3 linked regions of the Stegostoma tigrinum genome follow. The protein of the gene in region 2 purifies or fractionates together with the protein of the main gene of each other region. This does not show direct contact. Links are inferred from orthologs where the notes say so. Each region holds a gene or a part of one and is shown on either strand. Other genes may lie near its edges.

What was found. The genes of interacting proteins can lie anywhere in the genome.
Region 1: the proteins of zc3h18 (region 2) and sf3a1 purify together in Homo sapiens (affinity purification with mass spectrometry; 3 studies listed by BioGRID and IntAct, with this or other methods). This does not show direct contact. The link is inferred for Stegostoma tigrinum from reciprocal best matches to the Homo sapiens genes ZC3H18 and SF3A1.
Region 3: the proteins of zc3h18 (region 2) and virma purify together in Homo sapiens (affinity purification with mass spectrometry; 3 studies listed by BioGRID and IntAct, counting the BioPlex papers as one, with this or other methods). This does not show direct contact. The link is inferred for Stegostoma tigrinum from reciprocal best matches to the Homo sapiens genes ZC3H18 and VIRMA.

The regions. Positions count from the first base shown.
Region 1 is NC_081379.1:23,031,527-23,039,041, reverse strand, and holds the start of sf3a1 (splicing factor 3A subunit 1), read right to left. Parts: upstream 3,014-7,515; 5' UTR 2,923-3,013; coding exon 2,869-2,922; intron 1,257-2,868; coding exon 1,144-1,256; intron 1,056-1,143; coding exon 854-1,055; intron 1-853. Other genes in the region: ccdc157 (coiled-coil domain-containing protein 157), read left to right, coding at 5,996-6,243. UniProt on the Homo sapiens protein: Component of the 17S U2 SnRNP complex of the spliceosome, a large ribonucleoprotein complex that removes introns from transcribed pre-mRNAs.
Region 2 is NC_081369.1:66,842,980-66,849,990, forward strand, and holds the start of zc3h18 (zinc finger CCCH domain-containing protein 18), read right to left. Parts: upstream 3,017-7,011; 5' UTR 2,871-3,016; intron 2,024-2,870; exon of another isoform or gene 1,890-2,023; intron 1-1,889.
Region 3 is NC_081358.1:91,435,405-91,443,036, forward strand, and holds the start of virma (protein virilizer homolog), read right to left. Parts: upstream 3,014-7,632; 5' UTR 2,963-3,013; coding exon 2,903-2,962; intron 1-2,902. UniProt on the Homo sapiens protein: Associated component of the WMM complex, a complex that mediates N6-methyladenosine (m6A) methylation of RNAs, a modification that plays a role in the efficiency of mRNA splicing and RNA processing.

The sequences.
Region 1 (7,515 bases), on a different chromosome or scaffold from region 2:
TGTGATACTAGGGGGCACTGAAGGAAACCGAGACAGATCATCCACTTGTCACTTCTGGCTAAAGACTGCTGTGAATGCTTTAGCCTTATCTTTTGCACGGACGTGCTGGGCTGTTCCATCATTGAGGATGGGGATATTCATGGAGCTTCCACCTCCAGTGAGTTGTTTGGTTGTCCATCTCAATTCATGATGTCAAGTGGCAGGATTTCAGAGCTTAGATCTAATATATTGATTGCGGGGTCACAAAACTCTGTCTATCACTTGCTGCTCATGCTGTTTGGTAGCTTTGCCAGGTTGACACCTCATTTTTAGGTATGCCTGGTGCTGCTTATGGCATGCCCTCCTGCACTCTCCATTGTAATAAAAATTTGGTGGTTCAAAGTCAGAACTGAAATGTTAAATCTTTCTTCCTTCTCCATAGATACTGCCAGTGTTGTTGAGTAATTACGGCATTTTTAGTTTTCATATAAAATTTACACCATAACTTCATGGAGTCACCCCTCCCATTTCAGAGGATTCTAACAGCATTACACCCTCCAAAATCTGTGTCTTCAATTCTGTCCTCCTTTTCCTAATCTTAATTACTCCACCTTCCACAGCCATGTTTTCATTGCTAAGGCTATAAGTATGGAATTCCCTCTGTAAGCCACTGCCTTAAATGCTCTCTTTTCCCTTGAGATGCTCCCCAAAATCCTCCTTTTTGATCAAGTTGTCGATTAGCCATCCTGATATTTACTCAGAATATTCAGTGTCAAATTTCATTTATTAATACTCATGTGAAATGTTTCAAGACATTTATCTGTTAAGAAGTATTTACATAATTACAAACTATCATTACCGTCAAATTACTCACCTTCTGCGGCAGCTGTTGTTGCTGCTGCTGCTGCTGCATAACCTTCGGTATAGCAGCTGAAGGTTCTTGTCCTTTCCCCTCCTTGAACTCATTAACCTTGTGCCGGTAATATGCATGGTAAGGATCATTTGGATTCAAGAAGTTAAACTTGGAGTTGTTTATCTCATTTTGACGGATTCGAGCTTCAAATTCAGGACCATTCCTAATCAAAGCAAAATGATTTGCACTTTTAAACTCAAAGGGTTTAGTATAGCAAATACAACATGCAGTTGTTGGAATTTAGCACTCACCTCGCTACAAAACTTGCAGTCTTATCTACGATGTTTCTGACTTCAGGAGGAGGATAAATAATACCAACAATGGGTTTGGATGTTGCAGATTCATCTTTTGTTTCTTCTGGCAACTTTAAAAGAAAATTAAACAAGTGTCACTAAATTCTTAATCATCTTTAAGCAGCTTAATGACTTTAAAAATTATCATAATCATAAGTTCATGTCTGCAGATGACAGAATCAGATTGTAGAAATGACACTTTTGTTCCAATTAACCGCCAAAACACATCATTCGTTGAAATAAAAACACTCATGCTATGTTAGGATGGCAACAGCACATATACTTCAGCACAATTTATGCTGATGACCAAGCCGTTGAGGTAAATTATAGGAAGTCGCTACCTCCCCAACTGTTTTGACATACCAGTTGTCCAATCATCATGCTGGGGTCTGGACTGGAGTAAACAGGTTAATACAGCTCCAAAATCACATATCTGAGAACAACATTTTCAAATACTGCAAAAACTAAAACCAGACAAGTGCACAGCACTCCAAAGCACTATGCTAATCTGTCTCATTGATGGATTACAGCTGCCAAAGGGGTACAGAATTCTCCCTAGTTAGCTGAAGATATCATTACAGTCAATATGCTACAAAGGTGGTCTACCTGGGCAAGCAGCAAAGTATATTTCAGTGCTTTGTGATGGTAGACTGCACAATTTTAACTCATCATAAATTGCCATCACCCCTCCGCAAAGCAAACAATATTACTTTTTGGATTTTTTTGCCTAAGATTTTTGGACTTGGAACACGTGCATTCTTTTCAGTTTTTCTACCTATACTGTATTGGGCAAATGAAAACTTGTTAGTTCCGTAAAGATCCATGCTAATTATTTACTGTTGTACTGGGATCGAGCACATCTGGACCATATGAACTCGAGAATATACAATTTGACTACAATTTAGGTGCCCTGTAGTGTACTTTGTTCACCTCCATCTTCTCCGTCCAACTGACAGATAAACTTTTATCCGCACCTACTTTAATGACAATACCATAATGCTATAAAAGTAATCAGTAATAGTTGTAATACTAAAGTCTTTTAACATAAGCTGTTTTACAATATTCAGCACTTCAAAGTATCGTATTTCCCATTATCAACTGTTTACGAATGTGTGCAGGCTGGACGAAGGGATTTATTTAAGTAACGTATAACCATCCGGATTGCAGGCTGACAACACGGCCGATTTTAATGCATGATAAACACAGCCCTTGTTGCCTCTGAACGACCGGACACTTGTGATAAATCAGACTAACATTCCGCCAACGTGTGGATTATTTACACACATTTGGAGGAAGAGTCACCGGATCAGAAACATTAACGCTTTTTTTCCTTCACAGATGCTGCCAAACCCGCTGAGCTTTTGCAGCAACTTTGTTTTTGTCCCCGATTTACAACATCCACAGTTCTTTCGCATTTAATTTTGTGTGAATTATTTGATCGTGCGCCTGACAGATTTTTCCAGGACTCAGCTTGCATAACCAACAGATAATACAGCCTGGAGAAAGGATAATAGCCACGAGCTCGGAATCCGGGGATCCAAGACCAATATGCGAGTTCCAGGCCCAGAGCCTGCGGTTTGGAGGCCTCAGTTTTCTCTTATTCTGGCATGGATGGGGGGGGGGGGGGGGCACCACACCGGGCCAAGGTTTTTTTTTGAAACCTCTTTCTGTTTTAAAACCCACCTGGTTATTTTCAGTCTGAGGTGGCGGCAACGCCTGTACAGGTCCGGCCGGCATGGCTTCGGCACCGAACAGGGTTTAGAAGTGCAATCCCCCACCCCAGCCGTTCCGCGAACAAAACTCGGGCTAAACAAGATGGCGGCTACGGCCCGCACCATCCACCTCTTCATGGGGGGGGGGAAATGGGATATGCACATAACATAAAAGTTCTTCCCACACATTTAATTCGGTTTCCATCTCTCACCACCGTTTAATTATTCACTACTTTTCTTATAATACTGTTTTTATTATGTTTGAACGGTAAAGTCTCGTGTTTGTTGTTAGTTTGCCTGGCACAGTCCTTACGTCTTATGACGAGCAGGTACGTAAACGCACGATGACGTTACAGTTACGTTACGTGCGTCCATGACAGCACGTAGTCAACAGCCGGAGTGAAGCTAACGGTCAATCGCAGGTAGGTACAGGCTCAGTGACGAAGTTTGAATCAACCTCATCAGGCGCACCTTTGGAGTCGGTGAAACTTGATTCTAGGACTTCATACCTAAAATTATTTGTCCAGCGTATTCCCATCATGCCACTTCTTGCCGCCGCGATATATCTTGGGCTTGGAACCCTGGTGCTAACAAATGAATGATTCATTGCTTATTCAATATGGGGCAAATTTCGGCTCAGTGGGATGCGGAGGGGGGCGTGGGTGCTTTGAGGTTTTGAAATGCAGCCGTCCCCCCCGTCCCCCCCCACCATGACCAAACACGTCCGTTGGGGGTGCTCCTCTTCTCCACACCCGCCCTCTGAGGATGTGTTTCCCTCCCCTTCCTCGAGGTGATTCGTCCTCCATCCCCCTCCTGCTTGAGGTTTCCTTCTCCTTCCTGAAGTGCTTTTCCCTTAAACTTCCTCAAGGTGCTTCTTCCTTCCACCGCAATGTCCCTTCCCCCAACCTCCCCTCTAGATACTATTCCATCTGAGGCAGTGCTTTGGGACTGATGCTGACTCACTTCCATTGGTTCTCAAATGTCCAAGCAGTCCAATGCACCCATTTGCAAAGTCTGTTACATGTGGGGCAAAGTTGGTGCTGTTTGACTGACTGACTGACTGCCTGGGGGTGCAGGAATCGTTTGGAGGTTTTACCCAAAACCTTGACTTCGTCTCAACAAGGTTTCTGCATGTGTTCAGCGATTTCCTGAATGAATCTTCTTATTTTGGTTCCCACACAAGCCAGGTCGAGGGGAATGTTTGACCTCTTTAAGGGTGTTTTAAGGACTGCCTAAAGCATTTCCACAGTCTTCCTTTTGCAACAGAATAGATAAGGTAAACTATTTCCGCTGGCTGGCAATTTTCAAACAAGGAGTATGTAGTCTAAAAGTTAGGGGCAGGCTATTCAGGAGAGGTGTTAGGAAGCACGTCTAGACACACAGAGGGTGATAGAGGTTTAGAACTCTTCTGCAGACAGTAATTGATGTTAAATCAGTAGCCAATTTTAAATCTGAGGTAGATACATTTTTGTTAAGCAAAGGTATTAATGGGATGTGGACCAAAGATAGGTATGTGGGAATTTAGGCCACAGATCAGCCATGTCTCATTGAATGGTGGATCAAGTTCAAAGGACTACTCCTGTTCCTATGTTCTTATAAGCAAGTTCTGAGTAGAGCAGTTGCTTCAGGAGCCTGGTGTCAGGCTATGAACAACATGTCTTACCTCATCGAGCTAGTTTTAATTGATCAGTCATGATGCTGGACAAATTGACTTGGGAAATGCTGCTTTTGGTCCATCTTTCCTGATGTCGGAAGATAGAACATAGAACTGTGCAACACTGAAACAGGCTCTTTGCCTCAACATGTCTGTGCTGACCATGATGCTGTTCTAAACTATTCTCATCTGTCTGCACATAGTCTTTAGCCCTCTACTCCCTGCCTGTTCATGTGTCTGTCTAAATGCCTCTTACACAGTGCTGTTGTGTCTGCTTAACCACTCTTCTTTGCAGTGCATTCCAGGCACGCACCACCCACTGTGTAAAAATAAAAATTTGCCTCGCATATCTCCTTTAAACTTGGCCCCCTCACCTTAAACCTATACGACCTAGTATTTGAATCCCAAGAAGGCCCATGAACATGCTAACTGTTGATTCTTCGTCCAACTGACTCTTTCATCGTGTGAGCAGATTTTTTTAAACAATAGAAGACACTGCTGCCAAATATAATCTTTTCTTCTCTTTGTCAGCCCCAAACAACTACTTCAACTTCTTGGACGATGAATAATGAGCCTTATCTAATTTCCTCTGTCATCCCTCCTTCCACTGAATTCCTCCAGAAAAATAATGTAAAGAAGGATCTTTTTAAGTATTTATGCAAGATGCAGAAATTACCAAGATGCTTTTGTATCTATAACAGTAGTTGGTTTTGTTCTCAATCAAGGCTACAGAATTGTGATTACTCCAATACAACATTCTACTGCAGAATTATAAATCAGAAAGCTGTTAGAATGGTTGCAATTTCTGCATATAAAGCATGGTGTAAGGGACTTGCATTTTCCCCCTCCATCAGTTCCATTAAATCCTATTGTTAATAAACAACTATTAACTTCAGGAAATAATTTTTTAAATTACCCAAAAATTGAATTCCATGCCTAATTCTTTCATTTAGGAAACATAAATATTAGTAGTAATGGCTGTTGGGCAGATATTTTTATTGTCATGTGTGATATTAGTAAACCAGCACTACTGGAAAACTATGAACGTTCATTATCACTGTGGTTCGTGTAAAATTCTGTCAATTCTTTTGACAGCAACTGCCAACATATTAAATATTACTGCTTTGTATGTAGACTTATACTTGCAATAATTTGTAGATCATATTGTGCATTAAGTCGTGTGAAAATATTTTTAATCTGGTAGCAGATATTTTATAAGGTTAGTACAAAGTAAACAATACTGTATTTACATTAAATTACAACTTAAAGGTGATATTTGCTTAAAATCGTTGAATCAACTTTCTTAATCTAATTATTTTCTATTTCTTGCAGATAAATTGCCCTCGTGGAGTTATTATTACAGGCTCAGATACTTTATACAGAAATAGCAGTTTCAATTTTCATAAGAAGGTGCATTTCATATTCTGATTTCAAGGCCATTAAAATGACACTACTTTTAGGAAATCAAAACTGTTTGGATGGTTTGCGCAAGGATGTCACAGATGTACAAGGGATAATCATAGATGTATTTTCACGAGTTGGTGCAGTTCGCTATCCATCATGGAAGTTTCCAGATAAAACATCATGTGATTTGGATCTTGTTACTTTATTGAACCGTTTTGATTATGTAGAAGATGACCCAGAGTTCACACAGCATTCTCATATTGTGCTATTTGAGTTGGTGATTGACAGGTAAGGTACAAGTTGTTCTTTGGCTTTTCTCCAGAAAGTACCAAACATGCTCACAATAATTCATGCTGGAAACAATCACAATCTACAGTGGTAATGCCTCATGCACATAGAATGTCAGCAGATGTTTACTTCCTTCTGACCACTTAACCCATTATTTTTGTGCCTCAATTTTGCCAAAATAGAAGTGACTTATTTTTCATTAATTGAGGTAATACTCAATGAGGATATGCCTAAGATCCACACTTACTTACATTGTTCTGTTGCTGCTGTTTTCAGTAATTGTTCTATGCTGAGATGTTGATTTCTCTGAATGGAGTTTTTGAAAATTACTCAAATATTTTGGAAGTACCTGTACAAATATTGTCTATTTCTTTTATTGTTGTAGCAACTCTGTTCACAGGCTGTTGTTGATCCCGGACCACATAAAAACAGGTGTTGAAAGATTTAAATTCCAAGGTTAAATTTTATGATATTAATTAAATGTCATCAAATGTAATTTAGTGATCCAAAAAACATTTGAATAATAAAATAACTATTTTCAAGAGAATGATTAAATAAATTTGTTTGTTTGTCCAGACCTGTTCATCCAGAAGCAATCTTTCCCCTCGAAACTTTGTGACATATCCCAAATTGATAATGGAAAGTCCTGTAATACCGAGTACCATCCTTTCAGAAAGCCAAACACCTTGGTTGAACTATGGTTGGAATACTGCTATATCACCTTAAAAGGATGGGTATCTTGGGGAAATCTTAGAGGTGGATAAGGAATTAGTTGTAAGTAACAAAGAAGAGAATTAATGGAAATTCTTGGCAGGTTTGACACAAAAAAGATGAAATATGAGATTATTAGCATTGGACTAACTTATCTCTGTACTATAATTTTCTTAAAATTGGGTAATGGGCTAGCTGGGAGAAAGAGTGATCAATATCTAGCAATGATATGAGAATCAACAGTTACAATATCCAGTCATTTGCAGAGCAGCAATCAAGAAGAAAGGGCACAAAATACTGAATATCACTGCCAAATGAAATGGTATAAACATGAAGCTAAAATTTTAGCTAACACACTCCACTCATACCATACGTTGAAGGTTGTGTTTAGCTTTGGTCAGAAAGATGAGTGGGAAACATTCAAGCAGAGAAGGGTCACAGGACTAATCCTACATGTCAGAGGACCACTTTCTGAAGATGGTGTATAATGTTTTAATAAATAACATTATCTAGTAGAGAGCATGGTGGCTCAGTGGTTAGCACTGCTGCCTCACAGTGCTA
Region 2 (7,011 bases):
CACAACCCCTTTAATAGGCTTCCCCTTACTGTTTAAAGAAAACAGTCGATTTCAGCTGTAATTATATTTTATGACCCAGTCTCTATAGCATAAGAATTCCATATATTCATTAACCTTGGAGAAGTTCTTCCTACTTCTGCCCTAACTAGGCAACTCCTTACTCTGTGATTGTGCCTTTTGGTCCAAATCACTTGAATACAGAAAACAAAATTTTCACATCTACCTTACATGCCCAAGAACCTTATATGCAGTTACCTAGTTTATCTTTCTCTCTTTTCTAAAATAACTGAGGGACACTTGTAATTGTCCAGTCCAAAGGTACAATTCTCAAACTAAACTGAATCTGTGGCATTTCTAAGAATAAAACTGGAACAATACAAATTTCAATTGATCTCCATTCCCGTACCTTGTCCTCATCTTTTGTTTTGATCCATTTGTGGATCAATTTCAAAGGAAAATTTTTAACAAGAGTTATCTTCCTTCATGCATATCCAAATTACAGTACTTCTGACATCACATGTAGGACTGATAGTTACAACAATGCATTAGAAATACACCGAGTACCAGCATTTACACAAATTTGGACAGAAAATTCAAACATTTCAACTAGATTCAGCACCTGCAACAGTCCACAATACTCCAGTACTGTACTACCTTGAGACCATTTAGAAACACAAATACATTTTAAATCAAGAAAGGTCTCAGAGATACTAAGAACTGCCAATGCTGGAGTCAGAGATAACACAGTATGGAGCCGGAGCAGCACTGCAGGCCAGGCAGTATCAGAGGGGCAGGAAAGTTAACGTTTCGGGTTGGGCCCCTTCACAGGCTCCATACTGTGTTATCTCTTAATCAAGAACAGTGGGGCTTTGCTAAAAATAGGCAAAAGGTTTCAAAAATCAAGACATGTAATCAGCCGGGGTCCACCAGGAGGATGATAATACATCAGTTCCTCTACGTCCATTGTCCTACAAGTCCATTGTTTCCACTGTAACTCAAAAACACTATTCTCTAGGTAGTAGATACTATCTTAAATCAGGACACACAGTTCCTGAAGTATCTCAATAATTGCACAGGAGCTCTACAGAGGACAAATTTAAATACTGCTGGACAAGAGGAGTTATGGCATTCACTCAAGGCAGGGGGACAACTTTACAAATCTATAACGGCATGAGATCAACTCAGCTTTGGGACTAGAGATAGTTTTGCAGTCAGAACGAACAATAAGTCATGACTGCAGAGCCAACTGCTAGATTTAACAGATCCACATGAGTAAGCTCTACATCATAATATTGATTTGGGTGCAGGTTGTTTTGGGCAGGACAATTACATTATTGTTTCCCCAAATCCCTCGACTGCCTCCTCCCTCTCTCTCTCAAGGATGGAGGATGTTAATCATTCTATGGGTGCAGTTTATCCCCACCATCTTGCATAACTGCGCCTTTTCAATGCCTAGACAGTTGGTACTGACAAGTTTTCTGAATGTGTAGCATTATAGTTCGGCCAGGTTCTCTCTCTACTCAAGCACTAGCATTAGTTAGAGGACAGTTATCAAATTAGCCAATGCTGAGAATATTGGCTGATGTTTCCCATGTGTTAAGGTGTTTTAAAGGCCAACTGTCTCAAACTTGACCTAAACGAGAAAAGGTATTCAACCCAGACTGGAAATGTAACCTGGATCATCTTGGTTTATACAGAGCAATAGCACACCAAGCAGTACATTTACCCAGTGTGCAAATTGAGAGAGGCAGGTAATAAGGGAATGCCACTTAGATCCAAGACGAGATTTTTTTTTAAAACACAGAGTTCTGAACTTTTGGAATTCTATGCCCAGAGGTCAGCACAGGCCCAGTTTTAAATATGTTTAAGAGACTGATAGATTTGATTACCTGTAATATACAGGATTACGGAGATGGGGTGGGGAAAAAGGCATTCATGTGTTCGACCAGCCACGATTACACTGAATGGCAGGGCAGGCTTGACAGGCTGAATGACCAACTCCTGTTGCGATATAATCCTGAATCTACAAATAAGTCCAAAATGATGTTCATTTTTTTTGCGCAAGTACATGCCTGCACTTCAAAATTAAGCAATCTGTAGCATGCATAAGATTTATAGATGGTTCTGCAGAATTTCACACTTCAGGGTAAATGACTTTCGACAGGAAGGATCTTGTAACCTGTTGCTTTACTTGCTCACTTTCCTATAAGAGAGTCTTCAATCAACCGAGGAATCCTTGGGATCCTCGTAAATTTTCCCAAATTACCCGATCCGCGCAGGGTTACTGGAAACTGAAATCTGGCGATTTGATTCAGTTGAGAACCAATCTTTTAACTCGGGGTGGGGGAACGGCATCAACTGGGATGCACACCTCAGACTGCAACACACTGCAGATCAGAGACAAGGCCATTTACAGGGATCAGTTTGCACACAAGGCCAATTGGGGACATGTGACATGAGGTATCAGCACTGGCACGGGAGGACAGAGAGAAGGCAAAAGGGCCTGCTTGGTAAAGGCAGCCCTAAAGGGCCGCCCACACCAATCCCCCGCCTCAACAACCTCAGGCTCCAGATGCATCGTAGCCGGCTCCTCGCTCGCTGTTATTGGCGCAGAGCGGGATCCCGGGTGTGGGGGCCCTCTACTACCTCAGCAGCTCCGACAAAGCCAAGACAACAACGGGAACTGCAATTCCTGACCCAGCTTCCCGCCCATGAGGAGCCCGAGGCCTAAAGGCCGAGTGCGGGGCTACCGCCAGTAAGAGGCCGAGGCCTACGATTTGTGTGCGCGAGCGAGTGAGCGGGGGGGGGGGGTGGGAGTTAGAGTAATCGCCGCTTCCCCTACACCCACCCCCCCCCGCCCGAGGACTCACCTGCACTTTAGTAGGCGGTATGCCGCAATGGGGGCCAAGCCGAGCGGGGCCGGGCCGCGCTCTGAGCGAGGGAACGGCGAGAGCGCGAGGCCGGGCCCGAGGCTGCAGCGAGCGAGCGCGAGCCGGGCAGCTCCGCCATTAGCGCCCGCCCATTGGCCGGGAGGAGTCAGCTGACTGTACGTGCCCCCCCCCCCACGACCTCGGGACACGCCCCCTTCCTCAGCCCAGGGAAAGGAAGAACCGAATGGCCACACGCCCGCTTGGACCCGGAGCCCGTTAGGGACGAACACAACCGCAGGCGCTGGAATCCAGGTAGACAAACAGGGGGCTGGGAGAAAGGAGCGGTCAGTGTTTTGGGTTTTACCCCCGCCCCCCCCCGCGTCCAGTCCTGAAGACAGCGAATGGCCGAAACGTTCACTGCTCCTTGGCCTGCTGTGTTCTTGTCCGGCCCTCGCCCGCCCCCGGGGATAACGGGAACTGCAGATGCTGGAGAATCAGAGATAACAAAGTGTGGGGCTGGATGGCTGGCGTTTCGGGCCTAGACCCTTGGTCAGAAAAGCTTCTTGATGAAGGCTCTGGGCCTGAAACGTCAGCTTTTGTGTTCATCCAGCCCCTCGCCTTGTTATCTCACCGGTTCCCGAGGCCTGTCCGGCCGTCAGCGGGAAATATTCAAACAGGGACCGCCTTTGCAACCAGTTCATTGGGCACATTCAGTCAGCTGATCTGGGACTTGAGTGAATGTGAGGTTGTGGGTTTCGGGGATTGTTGCCGCTGTTCAATGTCCACGGACGGCGAGGTATCTGTACCAAGCCCTGTCGGGAGGGGAATCGCTATGCCATGCCCGTACTTCATACAACTGTACAGCTCCGGAACAGGCCGTTCGGCCCACGAGATTGTGAGGAACATGACACTAAATTAAACCAATGCGCTTGGTACAAATCCCCGCATTCCTACCAAATTCGTGTGTTTGTCTAAAAATCCCTTAAATGCCCTTTATCGTATCTGCCTCCACCACCACCCCCACCAGCGCGTTCCAGAGTCCTACCACTCCATGTGTATAAAAAAAACTTGCCCCTCACATCTGTTTTGAAAATTCCCCCGTCATCTTAAATGCATGCCCCCAATAATAAAAATTTCAACTCTGAGAAATAGATTCTGACCGTCGACACACTCTATGCATCTCATAATTTTATAGATTTCTATCAAGTCTTTCCTCAGCCTCCACTGCTGCAGTGAAAACAGCCCGAGTTTTTTTTAACCCTCTCTTTGTCAGGTGAACTTGGATGTCAGATGAATGAGTGGCGCTCTGAAAGCGTTAGGGTTAGGTTTTGTCGTGTGACTTCTGACCCTGTCCACCCCAGTGCAATGCCAGCACCTCCACATCGTGTCCCTAATTAGGCTATACTTTTCCAAATGCATATAAATCCTATCTGTAAGAAATCTCGAGTAAAAAGGTTCCCAAACAGTGTGAGACTCAATGGTCTATAGTTTCCTGAATGATCCCTATTTCTCTTGAACGAACATTAGCTACTTGCTAGTCCTCCAGGAGCCCTCCAGTGGCTAATGAGGAGACAAAGATCTTGGTCAAGGCCCCCAGAAATCTCCCCTGTTGCCTCTTTCAATTACCTGGGTATTTACCATCAAGCCCTGGGGACACATCCACCTTAATGCTCTTCAAGAAACTCAAACTGCTTCTTTCTTGTCCTCAAAATTCCCTGGTATATGAGCATGCTCCACACTAATCTCACTATTTTCCATTTCCTTCTCCTGGGTGAATACTGATCCTAAGTACTCATTTAGGATCTTGCCCACATTCTCTACCTCCAAGCACAAGTTCCCTCCTTTATCCTTGAGTGACCCTGCCTCCTCCCAAGTTATCCTCTTGTTTTTAATGTTTGTACAGAATGCCTTGAGATTCTCTTTAGCCCTACTTGCCAAGGTCATTTCATTGCCTCTTGCCGCTCTTCTCATTCTCTGTTTGATTTCCTTTCCTGCTTTCTTTGTATTCTTCATGGGCCCTGTCCTATTTTAGCTTCCTAATCCTTACATATGCTTCCTTTTTTCCTTTTAACTAAATTCTCAATCTCCCTTGTCATCCAATGGTCCCTTACCTTGCCATCCTTCTCCTTCCTCCTTACTGGAATGTGCTGATCTGTGATTGCCTGATAACAGGTCCTCCCAATTAACACTCCCTAACTCCTGCCTAATATTTTCCCTCCCCGAATTCAGTGCCTTCCCACAAGGTCCTGACTTATTCATAGCTACAAAAACAGAAATTACTGGTAAAGCTCAGCAGTTCTGGCAGCATCTGTGAGGATAAATCGTCAGAACTGTGGGAGGGTCACTTGACCCGAATGGGAACTCTGATTTCTTTCCACGGATGCTGCCAGACCTGCTGAGCTTTACCAGCAACTTCTGTTTTCCTTTCTGATTTGTATCATTTGCCATCCTTTCCATTTTTACTTATTCATATTTATCCTAAAACTTAAGGAGTTGTGATCACTGTTTCCAAAATGCTCTTCCACTGAAAGGCTGTCACCTGGCCAGACTCATTAGCCAAACAAGGTCAAGTATGACCCTTCCTCTAGTTAGGCTATGTACATACTGTTTCAGAGAACATAGAAAAGTACAGGCCCTTTGGCCCACGATGTTGTGCCGTGGAATAATCCTAATCCAAAAATAAAATAACCTAACCTACACTCCCCTCAATTCACTGCTGTCCATGTGCATGTCCAGCAGTCGCTTAAATGTTACTAATGACTCTGCTTCCACGACTTCCACTGGCAAAGTATTCCATGCACTCACAAACCCCTTTGGATGCACTTAACAATTCTGCCCAGTCGAAGTCTCTTGCTCTAAGGGAGGCTCAGTCATTATTAGGGAAGTTAAAGTCATCACTATGACAGCCGTGTTGTTGTATCTTTCCATAATTTTCCTGCATACTTGATCCTCAATGTCTTGGTGGCTGTTGTATTAATCCTATTGGAGTGATTGCACCCTTCTTATTTTTGAGCTCTACCTGTATTGCCTCAGTGGATGTGCCCTCCAGCATGTCCCCTCTGAGTGCAGATGTGACTTTCTCCCTGATTAGTGATGCAACTGCACCTCTTTCACCTTCCTTTTCATCTCATCTAAAACAACAAAACCTGAAAATTTGAGTAACCACTCCTGTCACTCGTTAAACTGAGTCTCTATTGGTGACAACATCATAGTCCCATGTAGTGATCCAAGCTTTAAGCGCCCCAGCCTTACCTGTAATACTCCGTGTGATGAAATAAACACACTTCAGCCCATTAGTACCATCGTGCCTGCCCTTTCTTTCTGATTCACAGGTCCTAACATCTATCTTCCCCTCAATTCCTCCACTTGCTGACCTGCCGCTCTGGTTCCAATGGATCAGATCCAAGCTCGAAGTCCTGCCATATCCTGTCTTGAATGGTGATAAGACAATTGCAGAATTCAGTGGAGGAGAAGGTTGTACTAATGTTCCCATCCTCAATGATGGAAGGGCCCAACACATTAGCACAAAGGATTAGGATGCAGCTACAATTGCCAAGTGGACAATCCATCTCTGCCTTCACCAGTGGTCACCCGCATCACCAATGTCCATCTTCAGCCAATTTGATTTACTCCATGTGATATCAAGAAATGGTTGGAGGAACTGGATGCTGCAAAGACTGTGGGCCCTGACAACATCCAAGCAATAGTACTGAAAACTTGTGCTCCAGAACGTGCCACTCCCCTAGTCAAGCTATTATTTGTATTCCAGTACAATTACAATACTAGCATCTACTCAACAATATGGAAAATTGCCTAGGTATGTCTGTACATAAGAAGCAGAACAAATCCAACCTGGCCAATTACCGGCCCATCAGTGTACTATCAATCATCAGTAAAGTGATGGAAGGTGTCACTAACAGTACTATCAAGCAACACCTGCTCAGTGATGAGTTCTGCCAGGGCCACTCAGCTCCTGCCCTCATTACAGCCTAGGTTCAAAAAGAGCTAAATTCCAGGGGTGAGGTGTAAATGACAGCCCTTTTCATCAAAACCACATTTAACCAATTATGACATCCAGGAGGTTTGGAAAAACAGGAATCATTGGCTATCAGGTGAAAACTCTGCTGGTTGAAGTCATACC
Region 3 (7,632 bases), on a different chromosome or scaffold from region 2:
ATAGGAGGCAAAGGGTAAAGGTGGAAGATTTTTTTTTACTGGGAAGCTTGTGAACAGTGGTGTTCCACAGGGTTCAGTGTTGAGACCCTTGCTCTTTGCAATGTATATTAACAACGTGGATGTGAATGAATATGGTATAATTAGTAAGTTTGCAGATGACATGAAAATTATTGGTGTTATTGGTGATGAGGAGGATAATCTTAGGCTACTGTCTGATATTGATCATGTGGTAAATTGGGTACAGCGATGGCAAATGGAATTTAATCTTGACAAGTGAGAAGTGATGCATTTTGGGAAGTCTAATAAGGGAAGAATAAGTACAATGAACAGTAGGTCCCTACAGAGGACTAATGAACAAAGGGACCTTGATGAATAAGCCTACAGATTCCTGAAAATGTCAGCACAGGTAAAAAAGGTGCTGAAGAAGGCATATGGGATGCTTGTCTTGATTAAGTGGGGTGTAGAATATAGGAGCAAGAAGTCTTGTTACAACTTTATAAAACATTGTTTAGGCCACAGATGAAATATTGTGTGCAGTTCTGGTTGCCACACTATTAGAACGGCATGACTGTATTGGAGATTCACCAGATGTTGCCTAGGATGAAATGTCTCATTTATGAGGAGAGACTGAATAGGCTGGGTTTATTTTCTTGAAGCAGAGGAAGCTGTGGGGGGGGGGGGGGGGGGGGGGGGGGTGCTGGGCGCGGGATCTGATTTGAAGTATACAAGATTATGAGAGGCATAGATAGGGCAGATTGTGAGAATCATTCCTCCACGCCAGACATGTCTAAGACCAGATAGCACAAGTTTAAGATGAGGAGCAAGTGGTTTAGAGGGGATCTGGGGAAAAAATGTTTTCACCCACAGGGTGGTAGAAATATGGAATGTACTACCTGAGTGGATGGCTGCGATGGGTAGGTGCGCAACATCTAAGAAGCATCTGGATGAGCACTTAAAATACCTCAACATAGTAGGCTATAGACCAATTCAGGGTAAATGGGTTTGGATAACTTGATATTTGTTGATTGGCATAGACATGGCAAGCTGAAGGGCCTCTTTCTATGCTGTATGACTCTATAACATCAAGGTTGTAGATTCTTGAATTTAAATTTACTTATTAGGAAAATGGTCAAAGTTTACCTTAGATTTAAAACAGTACAGTATTGTACAGTTCAAGTTATGGCATTGATAAGGTCCAAAGTCTAAAGTCTAAAAACTGGTTATATTAGTTAAAGATCATCACAGACACAACTCCAAGACATATCAAGATTCAGCTCCGATTTGCAATCAATTTCCAAACCCCTGTCAGAATCAAACTTAATTTTAATGTCCCTCCTTAATAACAGCCTGGTACTTTGTACAGGTCACAGAAAGAAATGCCACAAAAAGAAAACCAGATTTATGAAGCATTACCATCACCCATATTTCAACTTGAAAGAGTATCTTCAGCAGAAAGTAATTTCAGACAACAATATGAGACCATAGAAAAAGCAGAAACATTTGGCAAACTATAACTAGGTTGCTGTGTTTCAAAATACTATGTCCTGCCAATTAACTTTACAACTAATAATTTTATTCTTTTGTGTTTAGCAGGAAAAGTAAATCTATTTTTCCTGCAAATCGAACAATTCAGTTTAAGTCATGCTGTTTGAATTTTTTTAATATTACAATTCAGTTACACTACTAGCGCTGCACAGAATAAATACTTTTATCAACAATTGTCCCAGCAATACACTAAGGTCCAAATATTTTGAAGGTATGAGATGAAATCATATGCAACTTCAATTCAATTCATTTGTAGATCCACATTAAAAAGATATCATCTCAGTCAAGAACATCATTAAACCAGTGTATTTTCATCAAAATCCCATCTGGTCCATCAATGTGCTGTGGGAAAGAAATCTGCTAGCTTTGCCCAGTCTGGTTGTGACTCCAGCTCCACTCAATAATGGCAGTTTCTTAACTATCCTCTGAAACATAAACCTGATTATCAAAATTGACGCCGAAATATTTAAAGCAACTATCATCAGGAACTAAGATAATGGTCAAATTCACTCTGACTTTCCCTGTCTTCAGTTCTCTACTGAAACTGAAGCTTTTAACAAAAAAATTACCATGCTGTGTACAAACGTGAACATTTAAATCCAATAACAGCAGCAGAATCTACTAACTAAAGATATTTCATGCAGACAAGTACAAATCTATAATCTAATTTTCCCTTATTATAATTTGAGGACCTGTGTTAGCCAACTACTGCCGATTCAGCTGCATAACATCTGAGAAAATTGTGAACACTAGCATTCTTGGTTTGTAAAACGTGATCTCCTACAATGTTTCAGATTTGCCCTACATAAGTTGGCAAAATGAAATTGGTGTATAACACAAGGAGTTAAAGCTAAAATAGCTTACAATGTTTTATGCTGTCTCTCGTTTCAAAAACTGTTTGCAATCAACGCATCTCATTCTCGTTCATCAAGTTATCCCGCGAAAGCGCTGCACAGAAATCGCTAACAATTCCTTCAAATCAAGTGAAACTACTTTAAAATCTAGTCCCGATTTTCAGATCAACTCTTTAATTGGGCTCAACGTGGGGGAAAGGGGGCGGAACTATCACTTGAACAGAAACAAAACAAACATGCAACACTGGAGGACAAGGAGGTAGGGGAGACTTTAGCAAGTCGAAACTATCGTGTGTACCACGCAATTTGAAGGCTATGTCGGGCCACCAACAGAGGAAAGGGCACAAATCCTGGGTCGCTATACCACCGCAGCCAGATCCCAGCGTCTCCGCGATTAAAGGCCCAGTTCCGGCTGCAACACCCCGAGCGCTATTTACAAAAGCAGCTGCAACAAGAGAAGCCGGTCCCGATGAATGACTAAAAAGGCGGCCGCAGGGATTTACCTCCGAGTTTGAGTGTTTGAACGTATCTAGAAACAACAGCTCTGCCGCTGTGTCCGCCATGTCTCCTCATGCGTCACTTCCTTGCCAGATACTTCCGACTGCCCATGGCGCATGCCCGGTGAGTAGGATGTGGACGGTTGGGACGGAGGGGAGCGGTCGGAGCGAGTTGTGTAGTGGTGTTTACATCGTGTATCTCAGTCATGGTTTTAAAAACCCGAAAGGAAAGTGTCATCGGGAATGAGCGACAGTTAGCAAACTGTAATAATCGAACTCCCCTCATGTTCCAGGCTACAACCTACAAACAGGGAATTTATCTCTTCTTTTGGGATCCTTTGGAAGGCATTGGCTGATTATATGGATTGAAGTAATGTACTGTGCGAGGATTTGGAGTAGTAGGACAGGAAACTGGCAGTAAGTAATGACGGAACAAAAACAGAAGTTGCTAGGAAAGCTCAACAGGTCTGGCAGTATCTGTGAAGAAAAAAAAAATCAGAGTTAACGTTTCGGGTCCAGTGACCCTTCCTCAGAATAACGCTCGTTCAGGCACGATGGGTCGAATGGCCTCTCGCGCCCATCCTTGTGAAGGTGGTCGTTTCAGAGATAGTAGGAACTTGCAGGTGGTGAGTTGCCATGTTTTTGAACCACAGCTGTCCGTGTTCAGTAGGTACGCTGCACGCCCACCAATGATGCTGTGATTGAAGAAAGAAAGCAATATCCTTTGTCCCACATTGAAGTTGGCATATACCAGGATTCTCAGGGATCTTTCTGTTTAATATAGTATCAGCTCCCTTGTGTCAATACCACATTTTCATTGTATACAAAGTGTAGAGCTGGATGAACACAACAGGCCAAGCAGCATCTTCGGAGCACAAAAGCTAACGTTCCCATTATCTATGAATTAAGAGTTGATGGGCAGTTTAACTCTTCAAGTGCTGTATCATTCATGGCTTGTTTGATTGTAACTTCAACACTTCCCACCCACCCCCCCCACCCTGCCCATTCCTGTACCTTTTAACTCCCTCAGTTTGTCTTAATACATTGACTGCTGTTAAAGGAAGAGACTTTTAAAGCCTCACAGTTCTTTGAAAGGAAATATTTCTACTCACTTTTGTATTAAATTAAATGGTTAAAATGCCACCTCTACTCTCATCCACAAGAGGAAATATACTTTTGGAACCCATCCATTTAGGAATATAGGAACAGTGTAGCCAGTCACCCCATTCGGCTTGCCCCTACATTCAATGGCTGATCAAACACCTAAACCACCCTTACCATAACTGTACACCATTGGAAATCAGAACTGTTATCAATATCCACCTTAAATATGCTGAGCTTTCACAGCCTTGTTGGGCAAAGATTTCCAAAGGTTCGCAGCCCTCTAAGCAAAAAAAAGTGCTCTAGGTGTGGTCTCACGAATATCCATATTGAACAGACTAAAGGATAAGACCAGAAATACCAAAACTAGTATAAAAATGTCACATTTAAAGATGTCATATCTGACTTCATTAAGTATTCACTTCAAAATGGGTAACTTGTTAGCACAAATAGAAATAAATATGCCTGACTGGCACCTGTTAGTGAAGTGATTGCAAGGTGATCATGGCCATGACCTCAATATTAGGGGATATTTGGCATTTTAAAAATGCAGGTATCGAGGGAAAGATGGTGACAAAGCTTTTTTAGTTATGGATGTCATTAAAGTAAAATGTGACCTTAATTCAAAAGACGAAGTTGTAGTATAGTTTGGGTATGGCTCAAAATTTGGAAAGATAGAAGGTTAGTTGTGGGAGTAGTTTATTGGCCCCCAAACAGAGACTGTGAAACAGCACTGGGACAGAGCAAATAGGGAGTACAGGTATATGAGGCATATATAAAGGGTACTATAATGATTAGGGGTGACGTTAACCTGCAAGTATATTGGACAAATCAGATTGACAAAAGTAAGCAAGAAAGTGAGTTTTTAAGAGAATATCTGAGACATTTTCTTATAATGATACATTCTACAGCTAACTAGGAGCAGGCTGTTCTTGACTGGTAATGAACAATGAGACAGAATTAATCAGCAACATAATGGGAAAGGAGTTTCTTGGTGACTGTGATCAGAATAGAATTTCACATTCAGTTTGAAGCAATGAAGTTTGGTTCTAGGACCAGTGTTTTGAACATAAGTAAAGGTGACTAATTTGGATTTGAAGGGAGAACCTGCTAAAATAAACTGGAGGGCAGAGGAGATGCAGTGGCAGATTTAAATGATAAAGTGTGAAGCTCAATGAACACAGCAGGCCAAGCAGCATCTTAGGAGCACAAAAGCTGACGTTTCGGGCCTAGACCCTTCATCAGAGAGGGGGATGGGGAGAGGGTTCTGAAATAAATAGGGGGAGGTGGACGGAAGATGGAGAGAGGAGAGTATAGGTGGGGAGGTAGGGAGGGGATAGGTCAGTCCGGGGAGGACGGACAGGTCAAGGAGGCAGGATGAGGTTACTAGGTGGGAAATGGAGGTGCGGCTTAAGGTGGGAAGAGGGGATGGGTGAGAGGAAGGACAGGTTAGGGAGGTGGGGATGAGCTGGGCTGGTTTTGGGATGCAGTGGGGGGAGGGGAGATTTTGAAGCTTGTGAAGTCCACATTGATACCATTGGGCTGCAGGGTTCCCAAGCGGAATATGAGTTACTGTTCCTGCAACCGTCGGGTGGCATCATTGCAGCCCAATGGTATCAATGTGGACTTCACAAGCTTCAAAATCTCCCCTTCCCCTACTGCATCCCAAAACCAGCCCAGCTCGTCCCCACCTCCCTAACCTGTTCTTCCTCTCACCTATCCCCTCCAACCTCAAGTCGCACGTCCATTTCCCGCCTCCTTGACCTGTCTGTCCTCCCCAGACTGACCTATCCCCTGCCTACCTCTCCACATCTACTCTCCTCTCCACCCATCTCCTCCTCTATCCATCTTCGGTCCGCCTCCCCCTCTCTCCCTATTTATTTCAGAACCCTCTCCCCGTCCCCCTCTCTGATGAAGGGTCTAGGCCCAAAACATCAGCCTTTGTGCTCCTAAGATGCTGCTTGGCCTGATGTGTTCATCCAGCTCCACACTTTGTTATCTTGGATTCTCCAGCATCTGCAGTTCCCATTATTGCAGATTTAAATGAGATGTTTAAGAACACAGAGCAAATATTTATCCCAGTGAGAAAGAAAGACTGTTTGAGAAAGATGAATCATTGTGAGTAAATACGAAAGTTAAGCATAGTATCGAATTTAAAGGAACACGTTACATTTCTGCAAAGGTTGGCAGATTTTAAAGACCAGCAAAGAGTGCCTTTAAAAAGGGAGCAAATAAATGTAGCTGATGGTATAAAAACATTGTAGGAGTTTTTTTTAACTAATTTTTTAATTGGAAAATGAGAAACTAAAGCCAGTATTGGTCCTGCAGAGAGTCAGTCTAGAGATTTGATAGTGATAATGGATTACGGTAAAATGGTAGAGTCATTAAACAGGTATTTTGTATCTATCTAAGAAACTATCCATAGACACTTGAAATGGAGGAGTGGAAGACAAGGTGAAACTTAAAACAGTCGTCATCACCAGAACAAAGTGCTGAGAAAAATACAAAATCTAAAAAGTGACAGGTCCCTTTAAACTTTCCTGCCTGTACATGGACTTTGGAGGACATTGCATTGGAGGATGTTGTAATTTCTGGAACCAGATGTCAATGCATCTCCATGCCAGTTGGTGTGTGCAAAACTTCAAATGACTGGCAAATGCGGTGCTTGGAAGAAACATTGCTCAAGACATGATGGCATGCATCCTTGGGTTTTTTTTTAATAAAGTGGCTGCAAAAATAATAGAGGCATTAGTTATCATCTTTAACATTCCTTTGGTTCTTGAGGGATGTCAATGGATTGGAAAATAGCTCATGTAACACCATGAAGAAGAAAATCAAAAATAAATAACTATATTAAAAACAGTAAGTTGACTGTGTTTATCTCACCATAGATCCTGCTAGATTTGCTGAGTTTCCCCAGCATTTTCTGTTTTTATTTCAAATCTAAAGCATCTGCAGTACTTCACTTTTTTATTACTAGAATCTGCAGTTAAGTAGGTTATAGCAACACAGTTATGAAACAAGAATGAAATCAGGCAGAGTCAACATGTCTCTCTTAATTTCTGTGAGAGAAACCAGCAAAGTGTGTAAAGGGATTCCTGTGGATGTGGTGCACTTGGATTTCTGAGAGGCATTTGCTAAGGTGCCAAATCAAAGGTTACTGCAAAAAATAAGAGCTGGTGGTGTAAGTGGTAACATATTAGCACTATAAAGGATGATTGTCTAATAGGAAACAGAAAGTCAAGGATTTATTGTTGTTTTTGAATTGGCATTCGTAACAAGTGCAGTGCCACAGGAATCAATGCTGGGGACTCAGCTATTGACAATCAATGTCACTGAGTTGGATATGGGGACCAAATGTCTGATGGCAAAAGCATTTATAATTAATTCATGGATGTAGGCAGTGCTGACTAGATCAGGATTTATTGCCATCCCTAATTGCTCTGGACAAGGTGGTGGTGGTGTGCTGCTGTCTTGAAATAAAAACAGGAAAATAGGAGCAGGACATTTGGCTCTGCCATTTGATATAATCATGGCTGATCACCCAGCTCAATATCCTGTTAACTGTTTCTCCCTATACCTTTTGATACCTTTAGCCCTGACAACTATATATAACTACTTGAAAATATTCAACA